2 linked regions of the Danio rerio genome follow. The protein of the gene in region 2 purifies or fractionates together with the protein of the main gene of each other region. This does not show direct contact. Links are inferred from orthologs where the notes say so. Each region holds a gene or a part of one and is shown on either strand. Other genes may lie near its edges. The genes, in order: ostf1 and myo1ea.

Region 1 (3,830 bases), on a different chromosome or scaffold from region 2:
CATTTGTCAACTCATTGGTGATAGCAAATATGAAATTTGATCGCAAACTTGACAAGCAGTTTTGGATGACTTGATGTTTTGGCTTGGCCAGCCTGATCTCACGAGAAAAAGTAAGTATGTTACGTTTTGCCAGTTTAGTGGCTAATTCGTACGAGTTCAGTCGTACAAAATTGTACGATTTTAAAAAGGAGGCGTGGCACCTAACCCCAACCGTCATTGGGGGATGAGCAAATCGTACTTAACTGTACAAATTAGATCGTACAAATTCATACGAATTAGCCACCAAATCAAAAAGTTACGAATTGCCGTGAGATTGTGTTGGCTTGGCTTATGAGGGCGTACTCACACTAGGCACAGTTGATTTGAACCATGCCGAAGCGCACTTGTTCCCACTCCCCTTGACGGCCTGCACTCACTGCATTTTTTAAATTCTGAGCAGGAGCACGATTACATCATCGATGATATGACTGGTCAGGAAGAGACAGGAAGAGAAGTGCTCTCACTCAGCGCAGTGGACATTGCTTTAGTTATATCACTTTGTATTGTTTTTAGTCGTTTGTGATGCAGTGACAGTCAAATATTTTGCTGAACAGATCTACAATTATCATAAAAGTCCTCATGCTGCACGTATTAGCAGGTTTGCATCTTTAATAAACTATGACAGTTCGTGTTTATTAAACGGTAAGAATGATTAATAAATTTATATGAAACAGTCCCTTTAAAGTGATGTCGCGTCTTTATTTTCCGGCTCAGGCGCACTTTGCACTCACATTACAAGCATACGCAACAAAGCCCAACTGAACCACACTCTTGCCCGGCCAACTGAACCACGACTGTGCACGATTCGCAGCACTCACATTTAACAGACAAACTAGGAAACGCACCCAGGCACAGTTCGGATAGCTTAGTGTGAGTGGGCCCAGAAATGTATTGAGCAAAACTGTGATGATCACGCACATCTGGTCAGGAAAGCATGGTGTGAACAGCCTTAAATCTTTTGCTGTCAAGGAAACCCACAAACCCCTCCAAATACCCACGGAGAAACCCAGGAAATGCCTACAGCGGTTGCTGAATAAATAGAATTAATTGCTTTCATTGATTCAGTGTGACTAAAACATAAAGCAGCGCAAACAGCTGTTATTAGCAATTGATTAAATTAATTTTAAAACCGATTCTTCAGTGAACTATGGCCCCGTGTAGTACAGTGGTTCCCAACCTTTTTTTGCCCGAGACCCCCTTTTTCCCCAGAAAATATTGGCCCCCCTCCACATTTAATGATATATTCGCTTATGTAAGTTTGCAGTAATGATGACAAAAAAAAATAGTTTTCAAACAAACATTATTATTTAGGTGGCCATAGATTTTTTTTAATCTAGATTAATTTAGATTAAAATGGCTCATTTGAATTGAATTTGAATGGCTCATTTAGAATTTGTGTGCTACCCAAATAAAAAGTCTGCGAGAATGGGTTTCTCAAGCCAGGTGGTGCATTAGACCAGAGGCTCATCTCCGGTTTCCGCATCACGAACTGCTTGTGAAACTGTTCTACTCTGACAAGACGGTGATGAAAATTAATTATGTTTAATAAGATTCATTAATTTTCTTTTCGGCTTAGTCCCTTTATTAACACAGGGTCACCACAGCGGAATGAACCGCCAACTTATCCAGCACGTTTTTACGCAGTGGATGCCCTTCCAACCATAACCCATCTCTGTGAAACATTCACACACACACACTCATACACTACGGACAATTTGGCCTACCCAATTCACCTGTACCACATGTCTTTGGACTGTGGGGGAAACCAGAGCAGCCGGAGGAAACCCACGCGAACACAGGGAGAACATGCAAACTCCACACAGAAATGCCAACGGACCCAGCCGAGGCTCGAACCTTCTTGCTTTGAGGCAACAGCACTACCTTCTGCACCAATGTGTCGCCCCATTCAATAAGATGTACTTATATTTACTAACTGTTTATTCACTTAAAGATGAATTTTGCAGCTGGTAGGGCATAAAACATATGCCAGGATAGTTGGCGGTTCATTCATTCATTCATTCATTCATTGAAACAGCGAATTGTTGTTGTTTTTTTTTTATCTCCTTAATCCGACTAAAGTCATAACTGAACTAAACAGAAATGGAATTAAGACGTAGAGTATGCTTATGTACTTATATATCATAAGTGGCATTATTGAAGTAAACACCGCTGTCTTTAGCACCTTTCGCCATATTTTCCGTCAAGATCCACACGCGGCTGTCAGTAAAGGACCGCGCACGCACACACACACACACATTGCGAAATGCGGAAGTTTTTTTTCTATCCATTTGGCGTATGCTATTAAATTCCATTACAATCACCAGTACCTACTCCTTATTAGTGTCTAAAACCCCAGTTTGTCATGGCAGATGAATGAAATGTTCAGGCATCCTGCTGATTTGATTCAGAAGGGCACTCTTTTGTCAGATGGCTCACCGGTCAGGTATACATCCATCCGCGCTAATATGTCAAGGTGAAAGTCATCATAGCTTGCGTAGAATAGACCCAGCTCCCAACCCAACTTTGAAAATAGATTAACGGCAATTATTTTTTATCACATGATAAGAATCTCGCATTAACGGCTCACCACTAGTGTAAATATATATTTATTCAGTTTGTATATTAATTTCAATAATACTATTGTCCACTGCTAAGTATTTTTTTTAAATATGACGCGGTCCCCCGCAAAGCTCACTGAGGCCCCCATGTGGACCTGTTGGGAACCGCTGGTGTAGTAAACGCTGCTTCATCTGTACACACATGCTGGAATAGAAGCTTTAATACATTAGCTTTATTAGCTCTGGCTTTGGTGACAAAATGCACATGAAAATTGACTTTGGTTAGTTGCCAATTGAGGTGGCACGGTGGCTCAGTGGCTAGCACTGTCACCTCACAGCAAGAAGGTCGCTGGCTCGAGTCCTGGCTGGGTCAGTTGTCATTTCTGTGTGGAGTTTGTATGTTCTTCCCGTGTTGGAGTGGGTTTCCTTCGGGTGCTCCGGTTTCCCCCACAGTCCAAACACATGCGCTATAGGTGAACTAAATACGCTAAATTGGCCGTAGTGTAGGAGTGTGAATGTAATAGTGTAAAAGAGTGTTTCCCAGTACGGGGTTGCAGCAGGAATGGCATCTGCTGTGTAAAACATATGCTGGATAATTAGAGGTGTAAAACATATGCTGGATAATTGGAGGTTCATTCCGCTGTGGTGACCCCTGATGAATATAGGGACTTAGCCGAAGGAAAATTAACGAATGAATAACCACCAAGCCCCCTGTGTCTGAATATAGTCAAAGCATGTATTTCAACCAGTTTGTGTTTCGACTACCTTTATGTCCTCCATGGCAAGCCCAGTAGAGAGAGGTGTTCCCTGCTTTGTCCAGTCCGTTGATGCCAACTTTATTATCCAAGCACTCTCTGAGCCAGCTCAGATTTCCTGCATTCCCACACAAAACAGACGATTATTTCACCACTTTAACAAACAAACATACTGCTAGCCGGGTCTGTATGTGTGTACCTCGTTTGGCTGCTTCATGCATGGGGTTATCTATGGACTCTGCCTGTTCAGCCACTGAGAAATGATCAAGATGAGAATAAAAAAAAAACTGCATATAATAAATCACAGCAATACATTTTTACATCACGGCGAATAGATCTTTGCAGTGTGGAGAGTGGATGTCTGCAGGCATGTGCACACATAGGGCTCAACCTGTGCAGTGCACATGCCATTTCTAGTATTGGATACAAAGCGCCCTACGAAAATGATCTGAATTGCCCCCGCTCTTCAGAAATTTTA
Region 2 (3,830 bases):
AGAGAGACACACAGAAGAAAAAGAGGGAAGTTACAATAACAGTGTCGGCCAATATGGAAAACAGTTCACATATTTGAACAGGCAAACTCTATTGAACTATATTGGATTTACTATATAGGTTTTCCAGTGCGCTCCATGCAAATATCAAGTTGCCTAATCATACTCACCAAGGTTTCTTGGAAATCATGCTTGTCGTTGATATCGTCCACTTTGTAGGAACCGGACTGGTTGAGGTAAGTGTAGTAATCCAGGCTGGTAATGCCCAGACTGCTTTTCTGGTCTCCACTGGCTCCCTCTATTAGCTGTGAAGAGGAATGTAGGTTATAACACATTCACAAAAAGTTCTTGGGTGAATTTGGGTGAGTTTTAGACCATAAAAAATGGTCAATGATTAATATATAATTAAAATGAATAAATAAATCCAGAGTTGCATTTGTAAATGTAGTTATTGCACAGTGAACTAACATGAACAACCAATTTTAAGTTTTTAGATTAAGTCAAGCTGTAAATTAATATATTTACTCATTCATTCATTTTCTTTTCGGCTTAGTCCCTTTATTAATCTGGGGTCACCACAGCGAAATGAACCGCCTAAATTAATATAGCTCATTGTAAATTATTTCACGTTAACAGATGAAACCTTTTTTGTAAAGCATTGCAAAAATTATTTTAAAGACATAATAAAATCTTACCAGCAAGTACAAAAAGTCCTAGATCTGAGAATAATATTTAATGGTGTATATTTTGGAAAATTAGCCTTAGCATAACAAAGGAGTCTGGAATTTTATTCCAAACCCACTTAAAATGTAATTTCCACCACTGTTATTTTCAGAAATCCATTAGACACAAAATTTAAGACATAGAGGAAATGTCTCAAACACACTGTGGTGGAAATTTATGCGAGGAATAAAAAAAAAATCAATAGAATTCTCCTGGATATGTTAGCAGACAAATTAAATAAACTCGCAAGAGTGTGAAGAGTGCTTTAAGTGTGTTTATTTTCTAAAAGTCCAAAGGGCCAAAAGTGTGCGTAGCTGATGAAACACCAAAATACAAAAAGTCCCAAAGGAAAACGGTCGTTTAAATTGTGAAGAAGGAACAGTGAGGAGAAGGCCTCGTTAAGAAGCCAGACATACTCTCGCTTTCCAAAAAACTCAAGTGGTAAACTCAGAACAACGTGACCTGCTTTTCAGAGCCAAATGGCTCCATCTTTTATTTCCTGGCCTTTACTGCGGTTATTCATTCAATTTTTCCTCGTATTATACGACTGACGGTCACAGTGACATCTTCAGTGGGAAGGAGCCCACCTCCTGTCCTCATTCTCACCTGATAAAAGATGTGGAAGCTTCTCTCTCCAGGATTCCGCATCACCACTCGTGATTTTTCCAAAAGGAAGTTGGAAATTTTCCCACCATCTGGCTCGCCGCCGGAACTGAACTGAATCTCAAAGTATTTCCCCTGTCAGCGAAGATGAATGTTAAAAAAGGCACAGACGAGCTGTTCTGCAGGTGGGTGTGCATACCCAGAACCCCCCCAAAAAAGAGGAAATGGGTGCTTTAACAAATACAAACACTCTTCACTATCATTTATGATGCTCTTTCTGTTCACTTATGCTTACAGCAGCTGTCTGAAATTACCAGACATGCCCAGATGCAGAAGGAAAATAGTTTACTCAAGAATGAAAATGTGCTGTTAATTTACTTATGCTCAGGCATCCCAAAGAGGGACTACTGTCACAAGAACATATTAGTGAAGCTGAAACTAGTTCTTGGTTATCTTATTGACACAAGACAATACGAAAAAACATATACAGGCAAAAAAGATTACAGGTGTGGTCTCTGATGATACGTTGAGGTCTATGAAGAAATGATTTGAGTGACTTGGAGGTCAGCAAACACAAGTATTATGCTTGTTTTACGTGTGCACTGTTTTCTTTTTCATTCTCAAAGTCATATTAGGTGTTCATTATGATTTTGCAAATCACAAAGGACCACGGTTTCAGTTAAAAACATTGCTTATCCTCTACTGAAGATAAAAAAGTCACATATATTTTGGATGGTTTGAGGGTGAGTAATTTAACAGCCAATTTTCTCAATGTTTATCGAAAAGCTACCAAACACTCCACTAACTAATCCATTTGCATCACTGCTAATCCATTATTTTTGCAACTTAACCACCAATCCCAGAAGAACAAAAACAAGACTGGCATGTCTGTGCATAATGTTGCAGAACTGCAAGTAAATGTGGCATGCAGCATATTGTAATGGCAGTTTTGCCCTGTGAGTATTTTTAAGCTGCCAAATTTAGGTCAAAACCTTACAATGCCAACCTATTCATCAAATGTTCTTATTGCATTGACAAAGCAACGTTTCTTTCATTTAGTATAAAAAAAGATAGTTCACACCAAATAATGAAAATTCTGTGATCATTTCACCCTTGGCTTTTTTCAAAACAGTTTTTTTTTCTTCTGTTGAATGCAAAACAAGATATTTTGAAGAATGATGAAAACCTGTAACCACTGACATCTATACTGGAAAAAAAAATACTATAGACGTCAATGATTACAGGTTTCCAACTTCCTTCAATATATCTGGCATTCCTCCAAAACTGCCATTAAAAGGAGGCATGGCACCCAACCCCGCCCCTAAACCCAACTGCCTTCATACTGAAAAAAATCATACTAATATTGTACAAAGGAGATTGTAACAATTTATACAAAGGAGCCACTAAATCAAAAAGTTACGAATTGCAGTGAGATTGTGTTGCACAATATGGGCACTTGAAAAATCTTGAAAAAAGTCACACTGTGGATGCGAACAAATTAGTGTCAAGGGCTTGTTGTCATTTGCAGCTCGCTACAAATAAAAATTCTGTCATCATTTACTCACCATTCATTTGTAAAAACCAGTTTGAGTTTTTTTGTTCAGTTGAACACGCATGAAGATATTTTGACAAAAGTTGGAAACCTGTAATCGTCTATAACCATCATACGATAAAGTATTTTTTTGTCCTAGTATGAAGGTCAATGGTTACAGGTTTTCAACATTCTTCAAAATGTCTTCTTTTGCATTCAGCAGAAAAAAAAGACTATTTTGAAACAATTCGAGGGTGAGTAAATGATGACAGAATTATCATTCTTTGGTGTACTATCCCTTTACTATGGATGATTCATTCATTCATTCATTCATTCATTCATTCATTTTCTTTTCAGCTTAGTCCCTTTAACATTGATGATAAACCCTTTTTTGGTTTTAGTGCAACTTGTGCCCAACACATCACAAGACATCTGCCGTCTGCTTTCTTCAAATGAAATAATAATAAATATAAAATAACGGGAGGATGACTAATGCTTACAAATCGACTGGAGTTGTTGTTTCTCACTGTCTTAGCATTCCCAAAGGCCTCGAGAAGTGGATTAGACTGAAGAATGATGTCTTTGACATGCTGTGTGGAAATAAACAAACAAGAGAGAGATGTAATGTTACATTGACATTTGGCATAACAAGCACAGAAACAATGTGGATCTGAAATGGACGAGATCAGTAGATAAAATCCTGCCTGTAGGGTGAACTAATGTAACACTGGTCATCTCAATGTCAAAATGGGTGACCTAATTTACCCTGAAGACATATCAATGTCAGTACACATGCATATTTCACACATAATTTACACAGCACAGTCTACTTAGAGCCATCTCGGTCAGCAAAGCAGCCAAGAGACAGACAGACACATGCGGCAGTTCTGGGATATCCCAAAACCATCACTTTTTATGACATAAGATTTGTGGAGTAATATCACAAATATAAAAGAAAGGTTGCATAATTTTATTT

The links.
Region 1: the proteins of myo1ea (region 2) and ostf1 purify together in Homo sapiens (co-immunoprecipitation; 3 studies listed by BioGRID and IntAct, counting the BioPlex papers as one, with this or other methods). This does not show direct contact. The link is inferred for Danio rerio from reciprocal best matches to the Homo sapiens genes MYO1E and OSTF1.

The regions. Positions count from the first base shown.
Region 1 is NC_133180.1:7,426,191-7,430,020, forward strand, and holds part of ostf1 (osteoclast-stimulating factor 1), read right to left. Parts: intron 3,606-3,830; coding exon 3,552-3,605; intron 3,471-3,551; coding exon 3,363-3,470; intron 1-3,362.
Region 2 is NC_133182.1:30,633,919-30,637,748, forward strand, and holds part of myo1ea (unconventional myosin-Ie), read right to left. Parts: intron 3,445-3,830; coding exon 3,355-3,444; intron 1,459-3,354; coding exon 1,327-1,458; intron 303-1,326; coding exon 168-302; intron 1-167. UniProt on the Homo sapiens protein: Actin-based motor molecule with ATPase activity. Unconventional myosins serve in intracellular movements. Their highly divergent tails bind to membranous compartments, which are then moved relative to actin filaments.